Linked DNA regions of Xenopus tropicalis. The protein of the gene in region 2 purifies or fractionates together with the protein of the main gene of each other region. This does not show direct contact. Links are inferred from orthologs where the notes say so. Each region holds a gene or a part of one and is shown on either strand. Other genes may lie near its edges.

What was found. Proteins that work in one complex are often made in the same cells at the same time.
Region 1: the proteins of usp4 (region 2) and dcp1b purify together in Homo sapiens (co-immunoprecipitation; 3 studies listed by BioGRID and IntAct, with this or other methods). This does not show direct contact. The link is inferred for Xenopus tropicalis from reciprocal best matches to the Homo sapiens genes USP4 and DCP1B.
Region 3: the proteins of usp4 (region 2) and rbbp8 purify together in Homo sapiens (affinity purification with western blotting; 3 studies listed by BioGRID, with this or other methods). This does not show direct contact. The link is inferred for Xenopus tropicalis from reciprocal best matches to the Homo sapiens genes USP4 and RBBP8.

Annotation. Positions count from the first base shown.
Region 1 is NC_030679.2:9,163,620-9,171,905, reverse strand, and holds part of dcp1b (mRNA-decapping enzyme 1B), read right to left. Parts: intron 6,406-8,286; coding exon 6,280-6,405; intron 5,371-6,279; coding exon 4,669-5,370; intron 2,158-4,668; coding exon 1,909-2,157; intron 1-1,908. UniProt on the Homo sapiens protein: May play a role in the degradation of mRNAs, both in normal mRNA turnover and in nonsense-mediated mRNA decay. May remove the 7-methyl guanine cap structure from mRNA molecules, yielding a 5'-phosphorylated mRNA fragment and 7m-GDP.
Region 2 is NC_030680.2:125,798,959-125,807,847, reverse strand, and holds the start of usp4 (ubiquitin carboxyl-terminal hydrolase 4), read right to left. Parts: upstream 5,512-8,889; 5' UTR 5,360-5,511; coding exon 5,193-5,359; intron 1-5,192.
Region 3 is NC_030682.2:108,919,871-108,928,156, forward strand, and holds part of rbbp8 (DNA endonuclease RBBP8), read left to right. Parts: coding exon 1-374; intron 375-1,472; coding exon 1,473-1,590; intron 1,591-4,743; coding exon 4,744-4,835; intron 4,836-4,918; coding exon 4,919-5,018; intron 5,019-5,466; coding exon 5,467-5,664; intron 5,665-8,286. UniProt on the Homo sapiens protein: Endonuclease that cooperates with the MRE11-RAD50-NBN (MRN) complex in DNA-end resection, the first step of double-strand break (DSB) repair through the homologous recombination (HR) pathway.

The DNA.
Region 1 (8,286 bases), on a different chromosome or scaffold from region 2:
CCCAGAAAGTAGTTTACTGTTTTATTATTACAGAGAAAAGGGAATCATTTAACCATGAAATAAACCCAATAGGGCTGTTCTGCCCCCAATAAGGGGTAATTATATCTTAGTTGGGATCAAGTACAGGTACTGTTTTATTATTACAGAGAAAAGGGAATCATTTAACCATTAAATAAACCCAATAGGGCTGTTCTGCCCCCAATAAGGGGTAATTATATCTTAGTTGGGATCAAGTACAGGTACTGTTTTATTATTACAGAGAAAAGGGAATCATTTAACCATTAAATAACCCCAATAGGGCTGTTCTGCCCCAATAAGGGGTAATTATATCTTAGTTGGGATCAAGTACAGGTACTGTTTTATTATTACAGAGAAAAGGGAATCATTTAACCATGAAATAAACCCAATAGGGCTGTTCTGCCCCCAATAAGGGGTAATTATATCTTAGTTGGGATCAAGTACAGGTACTGTTTTATTATTACAGAGAAAAGGGAATCATTTAACCATTAAATAAACCCAATAGGGCTGTTCTGCCCCCAATAAGGGGTAATTATATCTTAGTTGGGATCAAGTACAGGTACTGTTTTATTATTACAGAGAAAAGGGAATCATTTAACCATGAAATAAACCCAATAGGGCTGTTCTGCCCCCAATAAGGGGTAATTATATCTTAGTTGGGATCAAGTACAGGTACTGTTTTATTATTACAGAGAAAAGGGAATCATTTAACCATTATATAAACCTTTTTTGATTGCGAGTGCGGTGGTACCGATTCTTTCTATTTACTAAATTTTATCAGCACCCAGGCGGTTAATTTTGTTTTGAGTGCTCCTCTTGGGTCTATATTTTCCAGACAGTGGAATGGAAGATTTCAAATTCTTTTGAGATCTTTTGAAATCCCTTACCAGACTTATAAGCTGCTACAATCTTCTTTGTAAGGCTCATGCCACACCAGGCGTAGGGCTGATTTTTTCGGCAAGCGGAAAAACGCTTGCCGAAAATTCAGCCCTACGCCTGCTACTTGTGCCTGCACCCGAATGAATGGAATACGCTCGGGTGCAGGCACATGTAGCCGATATACGCAAGAAAACGCGAGACTTTGCATTCTCGCGCGTTTTCGTGCGTATATCGGCTACATGTGCCTGCACCCGAGCGTATTCCATTCATTCGGGTGCAGGCACAAGTAGCAGGCGTAGGGCTGATTTTTCGGCAAGCGTTTTTCCGCTTGCCGAAAAAATCAGCCCTACGCCTGGTGTGGCATCAGCCTAAGGGCCTCAGGCAGTTCTAATCATGTGCACCTGATGTGATACACCTGTGTGTGATTTGAGCCATTTTAGGCGGGACTAAATGCTGGGGTGTCCTGATTTATTCCTCACCAGAAATTGCATTATATATATGAGAGAACTGTGGGGTTTTTTTTTTTTTACTTTTACATTATATATACATATACATACATACATACATATATATATATAAATATATATATATATAAACCAATTCAAAGTGTCGGCACTCATAGGATTTCCGCAACAAAAGCACAGCAAATAAAGTTTCTTATTAATGCAGGTGATGTGGTTTATTAATCCGACGTTTCAGTCCTTTACTTGGACTTTCATCAGGGAGATGAAAGTCCAAGTAAAGGACTGAAACGTCGGATTAATAAACCACATCACCTGCATTAATAAGAAACTTTATTTGCTGTGCTTTTGTTGCGGAAATCCTATGAGTGCCGACACTTTGAATTGGTTTGTAGATTTTTTTCAGCTCTGGCACCTAGGTTTTTATTATACTTAATGGTGTGCTCCCACTCTGGATTGTATATATATATATATATATATATATATATATATAAATATATATATATATATACACACACACTTTCTCTGTAGCCCTATGCTCAGATCTCACCTGGATAAGGTGCAGCAGGGTCTCCTGGAGCTGACTCCTAGTGAGGACGCCGTTCCAGCTATTCATGGTGTTCGTGGGGTTCTCTGGGAATGCAGCGGGGAAGAGCAGATTGGAGGGCTCTTTGGTACAAAGGGAGAGGTTGGCTGTTTCATTTGTCCTGGTCTGCAGGCTTGGCTGGGCAAATACCATGGGGGACATCAGCAGTGCTGGTGACACAGAGGCTGGGATATGCTGAGGAGAGGAGGCTTGCTGTGGATAGAAAGGGCAGCATATTACAGGCTTATTGCTGGCAGACACATTACCAAGAGGTGGGTTGCTGCCATAGTGTTTCCCTTAGACAGTACAGTATGGGGGTACAGCTTATTGTGTGCCCAGAACATTCCTTCTCTGTATATTTGTATTTATACATATGGGAGGGAGGTGCCATAATGTTTCCCTTAGACCAGTGATCCCCAACCAGTGTCTCAGGGGCAACATGTTGCTCCCCAACCCCTTGGATGTTGCTCTCAGTGCCCCCAAACCAGGGAGTTATTTTTGAATTCCTGACTTGGGGGCAAGTTTTGGTTGAATAAAAACAAGATTTCCTACCAAATAAAGCCCCCTGTAAGCTGATAGGGTGCATAGAGGCCCCTAATAGCCAATCACAGCCCTTATTTGGCTCCTCCATGAACTTTTATGGTGCTTGTGTTGCTCCCCAAGTCTTTTTACATTTGACTGTGGCTCACGAGTAAGAAAGGTTGGGGATCCCTGCCTTAGACAGTACAGTATGGGGGTACAGCTTATTGTGTGCCCAGAACATTCCTTCTCTGTATATTTGTATTTATACATATGGGTAGGAGGTGCCATAGTGTTTCCCTTAGACAGTACAGTATGGGGGTACAGCTTATTGTGTGCCCAGAACATTCCTTCTCTGTATATTTGTATTTATACATATGGGTAGGGGGTGCCATAGTGTTTCCCTTAGACAGTACAGTATGGGGGTACAGCTTATTGTGTGCCCAGAACATTCCTTCTCTGTATATTTGTATTTATACATATGGGTAGGGGGTGCCATAGTGTTTCCCTTAGACAGTACAGTATGGGGGTACAGCTTATTGTGTGCCCAGAACATTCCTTCTCTGTATATTTGTATTTATACATATGGGTAGGGGGTGCCATAGTGTTTCCCTTAGACAGTACAGTATGGGGGTACAGCTTATTGTGTGCCCAGAACATTCCTTCTCTGTATATTTGTATTTATACATATGGGTAGGGGGTGCCATAGTGTTTCCCTTAGACAGTACAGTATGGGGGTACAGCTTATTGTGTGCCCAGAACATTCCTTCTCTGTATATTTGTATTTATACATATGGGTAGGGGGTGCCATAGTGTTTCCCTTAGACAGTACAGTATGGGGGTACAGCTTATTGTGTGCCCAGAACATTCCTTCTCTGTATATTTGTATTTATACATATGGGTAGGAGGTGCCATAGTGTTTCCCTTAGACAGTACAGTATGGGGGTACAGCTTATTGTGTGCCCAGAACATTCCTTCTCTGTATCCTTGCATTTATACATATGGGAAATAGCTGCAATATTGTTTTTTAGAACAATATAATATAGTTTATAGTATAGAGAACATTTCTTCTCTGTATATATATATATATATATATATATATATATATATATATATATATATATATATATATATACATATTTGGAGGGAAGCTGCTATATTGCTTCCCTTGTTCCAGGGATTCCTATCCTATGAGTTTCCCATGGTGCAAAGCGTGGGTTTCCATGATGCCATTTAGAATGGTAGATCACATTTACATAAATGACAAAATGACAGACTGCAGAACCACATATGGGCACTTCCCTGCCAGCTGAGAATATGTGCCAAGAGTCTTGTCAGAAAACGAAAATGCATGTAACAATATGACATTAAATTCAGTTGCATGCATGTATATATCTAGATACAGGTATGGGATCCCTTATCCGGAAACCCGTTATCCAGAAAGTTCTAAAATTACAGAAAGGCCGTCTCCCATAGACTTCATTATAAGCAAATAATTCTAATTTCTGAAAATTATTTACATTTTCTCTGTAATAATAAAACAGTACCTGTACTTGATCCCAACTAAGATATAATTACCCCTTATTGGGGGCAGAACAGCCCTATTGGGTTTATTTCATGGTTAAATGATTCCCTTTTCTCTGTAATAATAAAACAGTACCTGTACTTGATCCCAACTAAGATATAATTACCCCTTATTGGGGGCAGAACAGCCCTATTGGGTTTATTTCATGGTTAAATGATTCCCTTTTCTCTGTAATAATAAAACAGTACCTGTACTTGATCCCAACTAAGATATAATTACCCCTTATTGGGGGCAGAACAGCCCTATTGGGTTTATTTAATGGTTAAATGATTCCCTTTTCTCTGTAATAATAAAACAGTACCTGTACTTGATCCCAACTAAGATATAATTACCCCTTATTGGGGGCAGAACAGCCCTATTGGGTTTATTTCATGGTTAAATGATTCCCTTTTCTCTGTAATAATAAAACAGTACCTGTACTTGATCCCAACTAAGACATAATTACCCCTTATTGGGGGCAGAACAATCCTATTAGGTTTATTCAATATTAAATGATTCTTAGCAGGCGTAAGGTATGGAAATCCAAAATACGGAAAGATCCCTTAACCGGAAAACCCCAGCATTCTGGTCCCATACCTATATATTACCACTTTGTTTTAATACTCTTGTTACTCGGATACCTGAAGGAGCAGATTCTGTTTCTCAGCCCGAGGAATATTTTCCACCCAGGATGTTTTCGGCACGCTCTGGGAGACCACCGGGAATTTAGCCGCTAGGGCCGGCCTGGGATTGCTTTGCATTTGCTGCTCCTGGCGCACCAGATTTAGCTTCTTGAGCAGCTCCTGTGGGGAGATGGTGCCAGAGGCCATGACAGGTTGAGAAGACAAAGGCAATGGAGGCATTGGGGCTGAAGTCCTTTGGTTCGGCAGAGAGCAGTCGTGGTAATTAAGTGAGTGTGCAGCGCACGAGGACACCATGTCGGCGTTGGGTCCCCCCACTGGGGCTGTGTGAAGGGTTTGCAAGAGAGTTTTCCCGCTCTCATAGTCCTGATTGGAAAAGGGAGCCTGGTGCGTCACCGGGATGAACAGGCCAGGGAGGATGTCCCCATCGGGGGGATAGCTGCCATTATGGCACGGCCTGTTCTCAGGAACCTCGGAGACGGGTTGCAGCCCACTTCCCGCCACCATGAGTTTCTGGATGGCAGGGCAAAGCTGCTTCTCGACATTCTCCGTCGCCTTCCCAGGTTCTTCATACGAGAGGGAACGGACCACCGAGTGGCGCACAGCGCCGGGTTCGGAATGAAGCTTCATCTGCTCTTGTGCTTTGTCTGGCTTCCCGAACAGAGCTGTAAGAGATAAATGCTGCTTTTCTGACTCCACAGCCTAAGGAAGGATAAAAAAAAAAACATAGTCACAGTTTAACACTATGGTGACTGTAAGTTTCACTCGTTTTCGGTGCTCTGGCTACCCAATTGCCAAGCTGGAGCATACAGTACTGCTCACCAATCATGGTCGCTCTGGGCGTGACCACTAGGGGGTGCCTAACAACCTGGCTGATGGTAGGTTTTCTGCCCTCATACATGTAATGGAAAGTAATAACTGGTGCAAAAGTTGCTACAGTTCAAGTAAACCAAAACAGCCAATCAACAGGTTATATTTATCAGTCTGTTGTTTACAAACATCTGATTGGTTGCTGTGGCTTACAGACCATTATTACACCATCACATTTGATAAACTATTACTAAGCTTTAATGAAGTATTCATAAAGCCCCAATAAATGGGTACTGGGTCAGGCCATGTTTCTATATAGGAACCTTGGTGTAGGGGTTCTGTTTTCACGCAGTTTACAGAGATTACTCCTTGGCCTTAAGGTGCCCATACCCCTTCAGATCTGCTCGCTTGGGGATGTTGCCAAGCAAGCGGATCTTCTCCCGATATCCCCCACCTACGGGTGGGCGGTATCGGGAGAATCCGGGCCAAACGATCAAATTATAACGGCGGGTATAGGCAAAGTCGGTCCGGGGGCTGCATCAACGAGCCGATGCGGTCCCCGATCCGACTAGATTTTTTAACCTGCCTGATCGATATCTGCCCGATTTCAGGTCAGAAATTGGTCGGGCAGGCCAGTCGTTAGTGCCCCTACAGGGGCCGATTAGCTGCCGAGTCTGTCTAAGGGACCCATATCGGCAGCTACTATCGGCCCGTGTATGGGGACCTTTAGGGTAGGCCACTGCTCCCTTCTAGGTGGGTCACAGTTAGGAAAGCACAACCCTAAGCCCCTACTGCTCTCACCTCTAACGCTCTCACCTTTCCCGGCTGGGACTCACTGGGTTTAACAGCAATGGGCTTGATGAGGTTGGGGTTGGTGTAGATGGCCGATGAGCTGGTGATCATCTTGGGCTCGGAGCACGACTTGCACTGTGCAAAGAAACACAACAATCAGACACTTCCATCTCTCACAAGTGGGTACGGAAACATTTGCACTTGCTTTCTGAAACCAACAGTTTCCTGACTCGTAGTAGGCTTAGTTTTCCTTTAAACAGGCAACCATATTTTTTTAGTAATTTGGCCACTGCCACTGTTCCAGCATATACAAAAAGTCACTGTATTGTCAACTCAATAATATGCCAGTGGAAGACCTACTAAGAGAGAGCTAGATATAGAGAGATAGATAGATAGATAGATAGATAGATAGATAGATAGATGGATGATAGATTGATAGATAGATAGATTTTATAGATAGATGACAGAGATAGATGATAGATAGATAGATAGAGAGATTAAATAGATAGATGATAGAGATAGATAGACAGACAGACAGATAGATAGATGATAGACAGAACTCAATAATATGCCAGTGGAAGACATACTAAGAGAGAGCTAGATATAGAGAGATAGATGATAGATAGATAGATAGATAGACAGATAGACAGACAGATAGACAGACAGATAGACAGACAGACAGACAGACAGACAGACAGACAGACAGACAGACAGACAGACAGATAGACAGACAGATAGACAGACAGATAGACAGACAGATAGACAGACAGATAGCCAGACAGATAGACAGACAGATAGACAGATAGATAGACAGATAGGCAGATTATAGACAGATAGCTAGATAGATAGACAGATTAAATAGATAGATGATAGATAGATAGATAGATAGATAGATAGATAGATAGATAGATAGATAGATAGATAGATAGACAGATAGATAGATAGATGGACAGACAGACAGATTAAATAGATAGATGATAGAGATAGATGATAGATAGATGATAGATAGATAGATTAAATAGATAGATGATAGATAGATAGATAGATAGGCAGACAGATAGATAGATGATAGACAGAACTCAATAATATGCCAGTGGAAGACCTACTAAGAGAGAGCTAGATATAGAGAGATAGATGATAGATAGATAGAGACAGATAGATAGATGATAGACAGATAGATAGATAGATGATAGACAGATAGATAGACAGATTAAATAGATAGATGATAGATAGATGATAGACAGATAGACAGCTAGATAGACAGCTAGATAGATAGACAGATTAAATAGATAGATGATAGATAGATAGACAGACAGATAGACAGACAGACAGATAGATAGATAGATGGACAGACATACAGATTAAATAGATAGATGATAGATAGATAGATAGATAGATAGATAGATGATAGATAGATGATAGATAGATAGATAGATAGATAGATAGGCAGACAGATAGATGATAGACAGAACTCAATAATATGCCAGTGGAAGACCTACTAAGAGAGAGCTAGATATAGAGAGATAGATGATAGATAGATAGACAGATAGATAGAGACAGATAGATAGATGATAGACAGATAGATAGATGATAGACAGATAGCTAGATAGATAGATTAAATAGATAGATGATAGACAGAACTCAATAATATGCCAGTGGAAGACCTACTAAGAGAGAGCTAGATATAGAGAGATAGATGATAGATAGATAGATAGATAGATAGATAGATAGATAGACAGACAGATAGATTATAGACAGATAGCTAGATAGACAGATTAAATAGATAGATGATAGACAGATTAAATAGATAGATGATAGATAGATGATAGACAGCTAGATAGACAGATTAAATAGATAGATGATAGATAGATAGATAGATAGATAGACAGATAGACAGATAGGCAGACAGATAGAGAGATTATAGACAGATAGCTAGATAGATAGATTAAATAGATAGATGATAGATAGACAGATTAAATAGATAGATGATAGACAGACAGAAAGACAGACAGACAG
Region 2 (8,889 bases):
AAGGTCAGTAACACCTTGAAATAAAATTATTCAATATATCTGACTATTTCTATTCTCTATGTGTGAACGAGATTATTATGCATTCTAGAAATCATGCTAAATGCACAGACTAAGTAAATGCTTTTAGCACACTTTCATTTCTTAGGTTACTTGCTCTTTAAAGGAGTAGTGTACCCCCTTGCATAACATGCCTTTAGTAGATTGGACTTGTACTGCATACAGTTTTCATATCTGAGCAGTGGTCTGATGTTGTAACCACCAGGTGTAAAATAGGGAGGGCCTTTTCAAATACAATATTGGGAAATAATGAAAGGCAGAGAGGGGGCTCTACCATTTTTGGATGTTTGGAAGTTTCATTTAAAATGTAATTAACATCCAACATACATAAGTACGTAAGTACTAACTTGCAGCAGCATTGGTCCATGAACAAAGCATCTCTAATATATATGTTGTTTTAGTCAACTAGAAGATCTCCATGACCAAGGATGGAGAAATGATAACTAGAAATGACTTCACATATTTTTTCACTGCTTTCTCTTTATAAGAATTCTATAATATTTACAATGTTTCACAGAAGCAAGCAAAACATGGGCTTTCTCATATATACACACCAATGATGAGTGGGGGATGGATAGTTTCGGTATTGCTAAGAAAAAAGGATTCAGGTATGCAGTGTTATGTGAAGTGGCTGCTGGCCCCTTCCACACATGTAAGCACTAGAACAGTGAAACTGCCCTTTCAGCGCATCTTACCAAAGCAACACAGGCTAAAACAAGTGGCCAGAGGCACAGATGCTTATTAAGCAACTGAAACTATTCACTTGCACACACTTCTCCCTTTATATTGTAAGCTCTTTTGGACAGAGTCCTCTTAACCTTGTATACATTACTTTACTGTAGCATATGCTGGTGCTTTATAAATATGTAATAGTTATTATGATAACACAGCTAATGCATAGTAAGTGTATGCCATCAACAGGACTGAATATCTTAAGCTCAGACCCAGTCTCATCCAATACTAAGAATTACGAAGTGTCCTAAACTCTAAATGAGTAGAGTTCAATATGCAAAACTGCAAACTGGAAAACTAGCAATGCGCGACACTGCAGAACACCCTTTGGTAGTTTAGCTGTTTTTTTTTTTTTTGCCTATTTAAAGAAAACACAATTTCAGGGAACACACACATTTTAAATGGTTTTCAATTTGTTTATAAAATGTATTTGAAAGCAGTATTTGTTTATCATTTTCTGTTCACCATTTCAAGCTTTTTAAACAATGTAGCAGAAGTGCAGTCTCCCCCGGTCAGTTAATTAGTTGCTTCTCCAACACAGTTTCAGAAATCAACACCATTAGTGCAGAGAATATAATCAGCCACACAAACACTGCTTTCAACAGCAATTAAAATATGGTAAAAGCTCCAAATGTGATGAGATGGAAAGATAGTAATGAATTAAAAGATGAACTCTCATGGCCCTCTAACATTGTTACTATTGAGATTCGTTTTTAAAGTGTAAGGGTGAAGACACACGGAGCTCCTAGTAGCAGCTACTTTTCCATTGCTACTAAATGCCAGAAAATACCCTACTGTATGTAACATACTGTAGATAAAAGCTACTTTGCTTTTAAAATTACTGTAATAAATGTTAAATTATATGCCCATTGTTTTTGACACAGAATTTTTGTACTTCTGACTACACTTTCTAGATTGTAGTACCCTCTACTTACTACACATTTCTAAACAGTATAACCTCAATTTTATATACACTGATTTTAAGTTTTCTTTCATTTTACACTTTTTTGGCCCCGATATTTAATGCATACACCTGATTTTACAGTTTTTTTCTGGTCCCAAGAAAATGGGGTTCTACTGTACTCAAAGGGTAAAGGCATTTCTCAGAGTACTGATCTGAGTGGAATAACACATTAGCACATTCCACAAGTACTATTTTCGGTGTTACTATAGTTCAATGTTCATGAAATCCAATATAATTGGGCATTACCACCTGCAAATATGTTGTTTTTTTAACACACTGATTTCTGTAGTAGTTGTTTACTACTTTACAGTTAAATTTAACTATAATGTTATTTGCCAGGGGGTGGCCAAACATTTTCATTCAGCTGTAATTATACACCACTGCGGGCAGTGGAACCTATATGTACTCTTTTAATAGTTCCCCATTTAATTCATGGCTGTCATATTCTGTGCTGAGTCACTGGCATGCAGGTCACCGTCAAAACTCTGCTACCACCCAAACATAGAAGTAAGCCTTTCCCTGCCAAGCAGGCTCCAATGTCATCTAAAGGATTAGGAACAGGGGCTTTTCCCATCATGTGGAGCAATTGTGTATTCCAGCATAAACAAACAAAGCACCTTAATATGATTTTGACCAGGCTTGCATAACACACAAAATATATTAACTTGGCTTCCAAAACTTTGTCCTAGGGGTACATTTTCTAGATAACTAGTAACTAAATGTATAGCTGCACAAAGGCCCTTGATTCTCGCCTGATGACTATTACCAGGCAGTCTCAACTCATCAAAGCTGCACAGGAGGGTGGCTATTCATTCCATGTACTGAAAGTGATCACACATTCTAATTTAAAGTGCTAACATGAATGATAAAACATTAATTGCATAGTATAAACATTAGGCAGGCCACCTACAGTGAAAATTAACTAGGTCCTATATTATACCACATATTATAATGGCAGGAAACCTCCACATATTATGTAAGACTCAAGCACTCCCTGACCATCTGTTCCAAACATCCATACACTATAAGATCTGTTTGTTTGTGGGTAGGCTCATCAGTGGTCCCCATATACAGGCAGATAATCCGCTGAACTGGTGACTTAAATCTGCCAGTGTATGGCCACCTTCCGTTTAAGTGCATTTCACAACACACAAAGCTTAGGAGCGCTGTTACTGATGCAGCCCTTGCCCCTACAAACCCTTTAAAGAAAGAAGTAGGGCAGAAACGTTATGTTTTACCAATGAGCAACACAAGCACAAAAAGTTTCCTAGTAGGTGACCTGTATGGGTTCAGATTGGTTAGTAGCCCAAAGTGGACTTGCAGACTACTAGAGCCTCTTTTTAGCAGTACACATGGTCTTTATGCTTCCAAAACTTGCCTCCAAGTCAGAAATTCAATAATGGGCACTAACTTTGAGGCCACTGGGAGCCACATCAAAGGGGTTGGTAAGCAGCATGTTGCTCGTGAGCCACTGGTTGGGGATCACTGTCCTAGATCATTGCTGCTACAAATATGGTGAACCTCTAGGCTTGTGCAGTAAGTTCAGTATATAAAATATGGCATTTCTCGCCATATTAATTTTTCAGGTTTAGTTCTACCACCATTATCTGCCTATGTGCAAAAAGTTGGGAACTTTAGCTAATGCCTTTAAAAATGGTTGCTCGATGACCACAACAAGAAAATCACCATTGACTCTGACAATCAGTCTTTGGCCTGAAAGGTCAACCCAGCAGTTTGAGAACAACTGTTCTTAACAAATAAAAGATATGCAAATATTACTCAAAGGTTTACATTGACATCATTTACACATCTATGAACTACAATCATATGTGCGCATTGAGAATTTGGAACTTCTAGCCTGCTAACTGCAAGCTGGACATCGCTGAATCATGGAATGGAGGTCTGGGGAAGACAGTATATCCAACAGTCCCCAAATCTTTAAAGCCCTTTGTTTTCAGCAAGGCTTATGATCTAAATTTGTTAACACAAACTTGTTTGGTTCAACAGAAACCAATCAACCTACTCGTATTCCCTCAGATGGGATCTCAGACTAGAGCTGGGCGGTATGACCAAAAATTTATATCACGGTATTTTTCAAAATTATATCGGTGTCACGGTATTTGACGGTATTTTTTTTTCCATGCATGATTAGGTGTTAACCCCATTTCCTAATAAATTAGAGAATAATTACTGCAGTATTGAAAATCAGAGTCAGGCAAGCGAAGGATCGGCAACAAAGTCGTAAGGTAAATCAGGCAGGCTTAGTTTCCCAGGCAAGGCCGCAGACAACATAGCACAGGAGGAGGCGTTTGATAGCTTTAAATACCCCCCACGCATGCGCAGAACCGGCGCCGTCAGCGCGTCACGGATGTGCACGCTTTGACATGTACGTGTGCTTTGACGCACGCGCACCTGGACGCGCGTGCGCAACATCCCACGGACAACGGGACGCATGCGAGACCGGGCCGCACGGGTGAGTACCCCGACACCCCGGTATTGCAGGATCTGAAAAATGAATATAGTTTTTTAAAAAAAAAAACCACCGGTATTCGGTATTAAACGGTATATCGCCCAGCCCAATCTCAGACCCCTACTTGCAAAAGGCAGCAGTTCTGACTACTGTGTCATTGTGTCCTGTCATAATAACCATAAATATTGCACAAAGGCCTGGTACTGAAGGGAGCTTTTTTGGCACACTAGGTGAGCACATATATTAGGCGAAGACAAAAAAAAAAAAAAAGAAAAGGTTGGGCTGCACAAATACAATGCATAAGTCAGATAAAGAATAAGAGCAAATGCTTTTAGGCCCCCTACAGTGTATTACTGAGGGAGATTGTGACGGGTTTTAGGGCACAAGAAAAAAAAAAGCCACTTGACCTCTTTACTCTTATGGACCTTGTGATTAAAAGCCCCCCAGGGGGGTGTTGTATTTGTATGTAAAATAAGTCCCCAAATGGGAATTTCCAAAGGGAAGTTGCCAGAAGCCATCATACAATAACTACAGTCAGGGGGCGCTGCAGGCTCAGAGCGCTTCCGGGGCACAATGTCTGAGGGGAATCTATACACACATATATCCATTAACCATAGAGATAGCGCCACTGTGACTTGTTGCCGTGACTTCCGGGAACTTCCGCTCTCCGTTCTGAGACAATTGACAAGTTAGTATCGCTTTTACTTTAAAGGAAGCAGTCACGTGACCGCGGCCGCTCCAGACTTCGCTATTGGCGCAAACTGAACCCGCTGAGAGGCTGTCCCCTCGTGGTGCCGGCTCAGGCCTGCGCTCTCTCTCTCACTCAGGCAAACGCTTCCGCCATGGAGCCAATGACACAGCACCCCGGGCCGGCAACTCGCCAGCCGCTATCTCTGCCATAAGTTACGGTCCCGCCTGGCTTCTCCCACCTCAGCTTCCCACTACACACACACAGCGGCCTCTCCTTACCACTCATCTCCTTTCTTTAGCGCTGATTTCAGTAAGTCCCCGAGCTCGGCCTTTTGGGTCTCAGTGTCCGCACTTGTGCCCGGTTCCGGTGTCGGCGCTGGGGAGGGTGTTCGTGTGCTACCCTGTGCCGGTCCCGTTTCGCTACCTCCACCTCCTTCCTCTGCCATAACTGCTTTCCGACTATTCGGCTAGGGGAGCGCGCACGCCCCACCATGGGTTGATCTGTGGCGCTGTAGGGATGCGTGCGCGCCCCACCATGGGCTGAGCTGAGGCGCTGTAGGGATGCGTGCGCGCTCACTGAAAGAGAAAAGCGCCCGGCGCCGTGGGCGAGCCCGACGAGCAGAGGGGAGTGCGTAGTGACGCAGGGGAGAGCGCGTAGTGACGCAAGGGAGAGCTAGGCGTTTACGTTCCTTGCGTTCCATGTAGGGTGACAGGGACACCTTCTTCCTAACATTATCATTTAATCACTCAGTTACACATTAATAAATGACTTTATTTGCATTGATACGTTCTATTGTCTCAGTCACTGCTAAATCCTGTTAAATGGCTTAAAACCCTGTCACGGTGTAAATGGAGTTCCCATGGGATTGCTGAGGTGAAAAAGTTTGAGTCAAGTCAATTTGGTATTTAAGATCCACTTACTTAGCAAGGTTACCAAGCGAGCGGATCTTCTTGTCCCCCTATGCCCATCTATGGCCAAATCCGTTGGAAAAATCAAACCTGCCCGATTGACATGGCTGATTTCAGAGCAGATGTCAGTCAGGGATATGTACTCAATTGATTGGTGTGTGGTTCAACAAATCAAACTGCACCCATCATTTTATTTTTGAGACCTGCGGCTTGTTTGTTAAAACAGTCTGGTAATTTCAGCCATGTTGGACTCTTCAGGGCAGTATCTTGTATAATCACACATACTTGGGAGCGAGTGATAGCTGCTGTCTGCCTGGCCACACAAGCAGGACTTGTGTCTTTTTTTAGAGACTTCTAGTATCTCCACCTCATGAAGGATATAATTATCAATTTCTAAAATTGTGAATCATTTGGACCACATTTAATAACAGCAGGTAAAGAGCTAAGTGCAAACAAAAGTTTGTACCCATAATGCATCAGTACTGGTACAAAATGTGTATCCTGCATAGGCCTGTGAAAGTGTGGGCATTCTCTAAGACACTTTTTCAGTTTCAAAAAAAGAACAATTTCTTTGGGGCACATGTACAAAAGCATGAACGCTCCGAGAGTATTTTCGCCGATTTTTTTCGGGCGCCCGCATGACTTTTTCGTACGGCGCACGACTTTTTCGGACGTTTCCACGAAAAAATCGGAAAGGTTTTACCGCTGTTTACAATTGTTCGTTACGAAAATTTCGTGACTTTCGGATCGCCAATACAATATTATTGTGACTAATACGATTTTTTTGTAAGCATTTTCGTGATATTTGCGATCTTACGAAATTTTTGTTTCCAATACGATTTTTTCCCATTCATGATTCGGATTTGTGGATTAGTAAATGTGCCCCTTAGTGTACACTGAGTACTGACCATGGACATATGAACTTGTCACTTTTGGGGAATTATAGATAGTCGCATTTGTTATAAAGTAGTTAAACAACTTTGGTTACTGGCTGCTTCCAAGAGTAATGGCATATGGGCAGCTTTTCAGCACTTTGAACTCTACATTTCAAAGTAGCCCCAAAACATGGCACCAAACTTCCCCAATGGACCCCCCTATAGACATGTGTTGGGATGTGCTTGTGTTTGGGCTTGTCAGGTGATATATGTCTTGAAATGTATCATTACTTAAAAACACAGTGCTCAAAGTACAGGTATGGGATGTGTTATTAGAAACTCGTTATCCAGAAAGCTTCAAATTACGGTAAGGCTATGTCCCATAGACTCCATTTTAAGCAAATAATTACAATTTTTAAAAAACGATTTCCATTTTCTCTAATAACAAAACAGCACCTTTTAATTGATCCCAACTAAGATATAATTAATCCTTATTGGAGGCAAAACAATCCTATTGAGTTTATATAATGTTCAAATTATTTTTTGGTAGATTTAAAGTATGAAGATTCAAATTACAGAAAGAACCCTTATATGGAGAACTCCAGGTTCCAAGCATTCTCGATATTAAATCCCATACCTGTACCTTAAAGCACTCCCTGTGAACTTCCCTTAAGTAATTTATAAAAATACTGTAACTCCCAAAATGCACTATTTATAATATATTCTCCACCTTAGATCATTCCCCTGTCACTTGTTATTATGACTACTAGGTAGGGTTTGAGGCTGCTGATGGAAGTTAAGATTTATTCCTATTATATTCAGACAGAACAGAACTGGATAAAGAAGTTACAGTTGGAGAACATTCATTAGCATGGTGTGTGTATTAGCATCACCTACAGGTGCATTTCACATTTATAATTTGTTGGTTTTCCTATTACAACTTGACCTTATTTAATGCTGGAACAGTGATCCCTGTCCCATATCGGTGCTATTATCTTAGGCTATACTGGCACAGTTACATTTCTTGTGCTGCTTTCTGACCAACAGTGACACTCTGATACAGCACACAAAGAGCAGTTATGCATGCAGCAATGCTCTGGCTTATGCAGAGTCAGTCTGTTTGCACACAGGGCCTTTTGTCTACATATGGCATTTAGCAGAAAACACCCCTTGTGCCACAAGGTCAACAAAACACCCCTTGTGCCACAGGCCTTACCAGTGTCGGCACATGTAGTCTGTCATATACAAAGTTACACCCATGAAAAGTTGTACTCACAACTGTTGCATAATTTGAGTGTAGGGGACTGCAGGTTTAGTTACCCTTTATTCAGGCAGTTCCCATTTAGGCATCTAAGTGTGTCCTAATTTACAGTTGGGAGGGAAGGCTGTTCCTTATCCTGGGTTACAGGGATTCTGTCATGATTTTTATTGTATACTTTTTATTTCTAAATTACACTGTTTACATAGCAAATAATTCACTCTACCATTTAAAATTTTCTTCCTAAACCAACAAATGTAATTTTTTAGCTGTAATATTGGTGTGTAGGCACCATCTCAGTGCATTGTGCCTGAGTCTGAGCTTTCAGAAGGAGCCAGCGCTACACATTAGAACTACTTTCAGGTAACCTATTGTTTCTCCTACTCCCATGTAACCGGACTTGGATTTCTTACTATTGAGTGCTATTCTGGTATCTACTGGGAGCTGCTATCGTGCTGCCTTCCAATTGTTCTGCTGATTGGCTGCTGGAAGGGGTGTGATATCACTCCAACTTGCAGCTCAGCAGTAAAGTGTGACTGAAGTTTGTCAGAGCACAGGTCACATGGCTGTGGCACCTTGGAAAATGAAAAATATGGCTAGCTCTGTGTGAAATTTCAAAATTAAATGTAAACAAATCTGTTTACTCTTTTGAAAAACAAATGCAGGATTCTGCTGGAGAAGCTCTATTAACTGATGTGTTTTGAAAAAAAACATGTTTTCCCATGACAGTATTCCTTTGAAGTATTTTCCTGGCAGTTCATGCAGGAAAAGGTGTTATCGTGTTAGCCAGTCAAAAATGTTTACAGGGTAACCCTTTTGAAATAAAAAATAACAAAAGTGGTATAAAGGTGATACATTTATTGGCTAACTAAGATAATTATAGCAAGCTTTCAGAACATTTTAGTTCCTTTTTTAAGCTGATTACAGTTCAGTA
Region 3 (8,286 bases), on a different chromosome or scaffold from region 2:
ATGCAGAAGCAGAGCAAGAGGAGAGCTGTGAATCCTCATTTGATAAAGAAAACAATATCCCTATAAAAGACATTGGTAGTGAAAGACACAGCATGCTGGACAAGCCCCTGGATCTTTCTGACCGTTTTTCAGTGCTCAGGCCACAGGACAGAAGCCATGGCAGCAGCAGGGGTAGAACAAAGCAGACATTTGCACTGGTACCAGAGAAACCTGACCCCAAAAAACCACTGCACATAGACTTAAGGGAGGACCTTTACCACCAAACAAAGCAGAAAAAAGTATTTGTTTCTGGGTTAGTAGAACGTAGTGCCTTCAATTTGCACGAAGATAAGGAAGTGACAGAAGAAGGCAATCAGCTTTTCGATGATTTAGAGGTAAAATGTATTCAGTCTGTTGTTAACTTTATTATGCAGCTGAGCTGTATATTTCTAAGGACAGATTCACTGCAAATCTAGCATATGTATTTATAGTCATATGGTATGATTTATTGTTATAGTCCAATGATTTTTTATATTGGTACAGCATAGCTTATAGTCTGTACACAATGTTCTTTCCCTTTGTATTTTTTCTTTTGTAGTGTATGGGCAAGGGTTAAAGCAATACTGTCATGGAAAAACATTTTTTTTTTTCAAAAATCATTTAATAGAGCTTCTCCAGCAGAATCCTGCATTAAAACATGTTTTTCAAAAACGAAAAAAAAAAAAGATTTTTTCTTATATTTAAATTTGAAATTTCACATGGGGCTAGCCATATTCTTAATTTCCCAGGGTGCCACAGCCATGTGACCTGTGCTCTGATAAACTTCAGTCAGACTTTACTGCTGAACTGCAAGTTGAAGTGTTGTCCCCCCCTCCCTTTCGCCCCACAGAAACCGATCAGCAGAACAAGGGGAAGGTAGCAAGACAGCAGGCCTAGTGTTTGCTACTACTTGCACATGGTTTACCAGAAATTACTTTTTGCTTTAGTAAATCATGTACACATTGCGGCATTAGGGGGTCATTTACCATGACCTCAAATGCAAGCGTGATTTCACACCCATTAGTGCTCATTCAAGAAGCACTTGGGTCCTTGGTCATGCTGCACTCTATACCTCACACTGCATTACAGCGTGAGGTGTAGTTACGTAAGGCACTGTAGGACCCAGACTTCAGCTGTTTGGGGTACACAAGTCTACACTTATCCTAATGCTAAACTGTGACTTTGAGACTGAAAGAAGCAGACTTTTATTACTATTACCCTTGAAGCTTTTTTAAAGGGGCATATAAAATGAAATGCTTTACTGATAAACTTGGGATATATGCCCTATAAAGGTTTGTATGCTGGGTACTAAACAACCTTAGAGAAGGTTGAAACGTCTTTTAATGTTAAGAGGTATTTGCATTTGTATTAATTAGCTCAGCTAAAAAATGGTAGGAGTCTGATTTTTATGTGCTAATATATAATTAAGGACTCTTTTGCCTCTCTTTCCTCAGATTGAAACTGTCCATGAGCCAAAAAGAAACGCAAGATCAGTGCACAGAGGTGTCCAGCCGACATCTGTCCTTCAGCCAAACTTGCACATGGTTCAGGCTTGCCCGGAATCTCAACAAGGTGCAATAATTCCCTTGACTGTAATGAATTTCACATTGTTCACATGTTTAATTGTTAACATCAGTCTGTGTCCTAATTGAGCTTACAGTCATGTCTAATAAGATCTGCCTATGTGGGACATACCACACAAGTACTTTTCATCAGTCTTGTTTGTCAGTTGTGTATGCACAGTCAGCTTCAAGGCACTCCTGGGGCAATCTGTGAAGTACGCTAAGGACCATGGTCCACAGGAAGATTAGTCACCTGCGGTTACATTTTGGCTACTGTGGCGACTAATCTCCTGAAAATGCCTTCCCACTGGTAATTTGCCAATGGGAAGGCATATGCATTGTTTTGTTTTCCAAAGTTTTCTCTTGCACCTGCACTGACATAATGGTTCTGGGTGCAGACAAAGAAGAAAGCTAATGTCAGTGTGTGGCATCAGTCAAAATTAAATGTTATTGGTGCCAAAGGAGAAAGGCTGCACTACAATTTAAACCAATGTAGTTTGTTGGGCCAGTCACTGCCCCCTTTCTATTCATTTTACATCTAAAAAAACACAATCATATTTTGTCTGATAAATAATACTTTCTCTTCCAGAGTTCTGTGGGGCACTGGGACCATGGGATATAGCATGCACCACTAGGAGGCAGGACACTAGAGAAGGAGAAGAAGAAGACTCCTGCCCTGAGCTATACCCCTCTACCTTAGCCTAACTTAGTTTTTTTTTTCTGTGGCCTGTACTTTCTTTGCACCATGGGTTGTTCCAGAGCTCTTTACAGGTGACATTCTTTAATAGGGGCTTCCCCCTTCATTGATCAGACTCCACAGAAGCGCACTACTTAACTGTCCTACCATCCTATGTCTATGGATGGAACAGGAGCTATCTATCCAGCACTAGCTAGATTCTTCTAAAGGAACATGAGGACAACCCAGCCTTCATAACTGATGAGTATAGCATCATAGCCCATCCAACCTAGGCACTTCCATACAAGGCTCCCATCTAGGAGCATCAGAGCAGAGCATCCACCCCCCTTGGCATCTGTGCTCAGCCCCTCCCAGCAGTGCTCTCCCCGCCTGGCCCCCATTACTTCCACTGGAAGCGGTAATTTTCCAAGGGCAATCACGTCATCTGAGATAGTCTTCGGTCAACAACGCTCTCTCCTCTTGGCGCAAATTCTCATGACGTCACTTCACAGTCAAGCTCTTGTAACACATTCCACTCTGCATCATATATATGGACAGGTTTTTTGCTTATGGGTAAAGCCACTTGGACGAGGGGCTTTACACGGACCACACACGCTCAGTCTAAAGTAAAATTGTTGGCATGCACCAAATGCTGCAAAAGGCTGCCCACTGGGTGTAAAGAGCCTCTATGTGTTCCCTGCTCTAAGCTTTCTGTTGAGTCTTCCTTCCAGTCCCAGGATATGTCTGTTATACCACAAATTGATCCAGAGGCAGGAGTTATTCAACTCACACTAGAGTGCTCTGCCCAACCTTACACTTCCACCAAGCACCCACCAGCTTGGGCCTTAAATTTATTTACAGGCATCCCCAAATTAGCAGCCTGTCTAGATAAATTGCTAGACAAACATGACCAGGGGGGATCAGAAACCAGGGCCAAAACTTCTAATCACCCACCTCTCCTCTAATCACAAGAGGACAGCATCAGAGCCTCCCCCTGGACAACCAATCCTTTAGTGAAGGGAAATCTCTTCTGACCTTGCAGAGGAAAGTGAGGACTTCCCAAAATTCTTCACTGAAAATCTTGATGCCCTAATCTCCAGGTATTCAAATGCCTAGACCTAAAGACAGCTGATGCTCCCCCTGACCTTGCTCAGTCTCTTTTTAAACACCACAAAAAATGTCCCTCCATTTTCCCCATCTCATGCTCAGCTTAATAGCATAATCCTGTATCCTGCCTTTCCAAGAATACAGCTCTCTCTGTACCAGACACTTCCTCCTTCAAGGAACCCATGGATAAGAAACTGGAAGGGTTTCTTAGATCAGCCATTGCCTCAGGTGGCAAATCCCTGCGACCCATTTCTGCCTCTGCATCAGTAAGTAGGGCAATCCAGTCCTGGTCCACTTCCCTTATAGACGGGAAAACCTCCGGCCTACCTTGGGAAGAAATTCTCTTCTTGGCTACTCAGCTCAAGGAGACTAACGATTACATGGATGAAGTGTCCTTGGACACTGCACAGGTTGTAAGCCACACATCTGCCTTATCTGTTGCAGAAAGACGATCCTTACGGCTTAAATGACAACTGGCCATAGCATTGCATCCCTGACTATCCTCAGCTGGAATGTGAATGGGTCCAAATCTCACCTCATTCCGAATCGCCAGATTCCCTTTCTAGGCATGTTGTTAGACACGGATGCTCAGCGGGTCTTCCTTACTAAAAAAATTGAAAGAGTTGAAGTTGCTGGTGCAACAACTGCAAGCACGACAACCATCCCACCATGGTATTGGTGACCACATAGCTCGTTGATGCAGCCCTCAGTCCAACGGGCCATATACCTGCCATTTTAATTCTGTAATTTGGCCCTAGGGCCAAACTATTGAATTAGCCCAATATCGCTGATATTGTTTGGCCTCGCCAAACGAGTGGATCGCACCATGTATGGCCACCTTTACTTGCATTATAGCTATGGTATATCAGCAACAACATGTGTGTCTTGTGCAGTAAATCTTATTTGATAAGTAGGGGCAGATATATTAAAATGTGAGTTTAGAGATTAATACATAAAAATTAACCCACGTTCTATTCATTCCTATGGGATTTTAAGAATAATATTTATCAATTGGTGAATTCTAACTTCCACCCATTTATAAATACATTTCTAAAAATCCCATAGGAATAAATAGAACATTGGTGAGTTTTTATGTATTGAATTTACATTTTGATAAATCTGCCCCATAGTGTTCTTTCTTTGGGGCAAAACAAAAAAGGCAATGATTGTTTGTGAATTACCATTTCTCTAAAATATCAAACATTCTGAAATGAGTAAAAACCTAACAATAATAATCATATGTCAATTTTTGTGCTAAATAACAAGTTCAGAGGGAACAAAGAATGAATTAAGTTAAGATTTAAATTAGTTATGTGCTGTAGCATTTGAAACTAATTTACTTTATTAAGAAATAGGGACAATGATCTATCTCTATTTTAGGGAAGCCACCAATAGATAACATGCAGTGGAGCATTGATCCAGGGGCTGACTTGTCGCAGTATGAAATGGACATGACAATGGAAGATTCTAAGGTAGAAAAATGAAGTTTTATTTTTAATATGTGTATGCCCAGAACTACATTTCGGAATGATATTCACTTTTTACTTTTATAAAGGGTGGGAGCCCTGCAAAGCCAGAGCTAGAGGACATGGATTACACATATGTTAGTGAAAGTTTCCTGTTAAAAATGAAGAAGGGGGATCCAGGTGACAGTGGTAAGTGTGACCAGTTACTTCATGTTATTATTATTCTTTTATTTGTATATATATGGCATATTCTGTAGCAGTTTATAGTGATTATACGTCGTTCACATGAGTCCCTGCCCCAATGAAGCTTACAATTTAAGGACGTTATCACGCTAATAATAAATATATATCATGCACAATTACTCATTCAGAGTATTTGATTACTGCAAAAAATGAAATATTGATTTTAAACTTTAGCATACCACACCTCTTCCCTCTGTCTGCATACCCCTTCGCAGGTGCTCTGTCCTAAGGGAAGGTATTAAACAATATAAAGAAATATGATAGTGTGATAACAATCGGCATTAGTACAGAAAATTGCTGTACTACTCCACCATTGTGCACATTGCTCTTTTTCCTCCATGGCTCTCGTTTTATTAATTGTATACCATGTGGTTTATTTATATATTTCCAAAAGTCCTTCCTAGTGAAATAATAATCAGTTTCCATACAACAGAAGATGAAAGCAAAGGTCAAGACAGCTTTGAAAAAATGTTTGACAAGAGTGAGTATGGAGAGTATGTGTTGTGCATTAAAGACAGGAGCCCTTCCCAAAGTTGCAAAGAAAGGAATGATCTGTCTTCCATGGAAAATAACAAAATTACCAAAGAAAAAGGTCAGTTACTTGTCCAATTGCAAAGGAACAAAATTACATCTGAAAACCCAGAAAGAATTACAGTGAAAGCTGAATGCACAGACCAGGCCAAAATGTATATTACAAAGCAAAACTAACGTGAAGTTCATTACTGCAAACATAAGTATGAATAATTTAGAATTACATTGTGCTACAGTCATACAAAAAAATTAATCAGCTCCCCCCCTTCCCGTGCAAATAAGCTCTTAAATAAGGGAGAATTTGCACAGCACAAATATTTGCCTCCGTGGGTTAACCATTGGGTACTGTAATTAGATGGGAAAGCAGCAGTGTTATAAGGCTCTCTGCAAACCTTTTTTTCTTGTAGAAAGATATCCTTAGAACTTACTGCATGAACTGCATACGTTTGTAACATCTTGCTATGCTTCTGGGAGTCTTAGGTCTTAGTTATTTATGAAGCAAACACCCAACATAATTGTATAGTAAAGACAGGGAGGGCGAATGAGCTTATAGGCAGGGGTGAGGTATGCTGAGGTTGAGGGAAAACAGGTGCTAAGTTATGTAAAGGGTAAATGGAACACCTTTGCATGACTGAGCATTGGTAGTCTGATATGTGCAAGTAGGGCATGTATTTGACAGGAGGATATCTGCAAAAGCTTCACATTATTTTTCAGAGGCTTGGGTGAAACTACATCAGGTAATCTCCTCTCCACATAGAAGCTCAATACTAGTGGGATAACCTAATCACAGGTTTGCTTCTGGTAGTGGTACCCATAGCAATAATTCAGATTTTTACTTTTCAAACAGCACCTGCTGGTTGGCAGCCAGGGATTACTAGGCCTAAATGTAACATTTGCACTTGTTAATATATTACCACCACCACCCATCCCCACCCCCTGAAATCTAGTGTGGATGCTTTCAGGTCCTCCTGCTGCTTAACCACTTATGTAGCCAACCACGTTTAAGTTTTTTTTAATGTCCTTTCCATAACAGGAACAGGGCTTAATTACCTGTAGACAAATTCTCTTTTTTTTAATTCAGAGTCTATATAAACTAACAGCTGGAGCATGTCAAAGACAGGTTTACATAACCCAGTTCCCAGAGGTGTCTTAGTGCTCCATGATGCCTATGTTTCTTATTTAAAGGAGGGAGAAATATAGCTCTAACACACCTCTGTAGTTTTTTGTTAAAATTATTTTTTTTTCACCCAATAAATGTTTTAATGCATGAACTTCTGTTGTGTGGTATTGTATTTGTGATAGTTGACACATATAACTGATGACTCCCCTATCTTAATATTTCATATATATGGTTAGTCTATAGAACAGGGATCCCCAACCTTTTATACCCGTGAGCCACATTCAAATGGAAAAAGTGTTGGGGAGCAACACAAGCATGAAAAAGGTTCCTGGGGGTGCCAAGAAGAGCTATAAATTGGCTACTTAATAGCCCCTATGTGGACTGGCAGCCTAGAAAAGGCTCTGTTTGGCATTATACTGGGTTTTTATGCAGCCAAAACTTTCCCTTCTTACCAGGAATTCAAAAATGGACACCTGATTTGAGGCCATGGAGAGCAACACCCAAAGGGTTGGGGAGCAACATGTTGCTCACGAGCCACTAGTTGGGGATCACTGCTATAGAACATAGAATCATTCTCCTCTTTTCTAAGTATGTAAAAATGTAAAACATAGTCTGAAAAACCTTTAGATATATACACACTCGGGTGAGAGGTTCTCATGCTATATATATTGGTGTCCTTAGCTACTCTGCATTGAAGCTGTATAATTGCAAGGACTCTCTATGTACTGAGCTATCTGAGGTCTTGTAGATAGTGTACATTTTATTGTAGTTAATTGGCAAGGGGATTCTTGGGTTTTTCTTTATTTTTTTCTCCACTACTGGAAAACACATTATATAGTGAATAATGTATCCCCTATAGTAAAATATAAGTTGTGGTTGCGATTCGAAAGTCCCGAAATTTTTGTATCCGAACTATCATAAACAGTGCGAAAACCTTTCTGGCTTTGAAACTTCAATGCATGATTTTGGAAGCTTTCCATAGGACTCAATGGCACTCTACAGCTCCAACCTGGCCAAAAGAAAGTCACAATACCAACGCTTGAATGAATTCCGGAATGGTCGTAGTCTTTGCAAAAAATACAACTTTTTAGTGGACTTTAATGAAAACCACAAAAAAGTTGTACTATTTTAACTATATTATCATGGTCAATACGAAAAGTTCTAGCAATTAGAAAAAATACGAATTTTTCTCATACGTACTAAATCGTACTTTAATGAATGAATGGGCCCCTAAGTATTGATTAGAACTGATAACATCACTAAGCACAGTCTATAAGGTAAGGTTTGATAGAGTAAAGGAGATTTATGTACTTACGGTTAAATCCTTTTCTCTCCAGTCATAAGGGGGACACAGGGACCGTGGGGTAAAGGCCCCTCCCATCAAGAGGCAGGACACTGGAAACCGAGATGTGGACCCTCCTCCTCCTCTCCCCTTTATCCCCTGTCACACCAGAAGGGGTTCAGTTTGTAACAAAGATTTAACTCATAACAGAATATAACTAACTCTCAACAAGACTGAAGATATTAGAACAAGAGTTCAGGGAGGGAAGCCCTGTGTCCCCC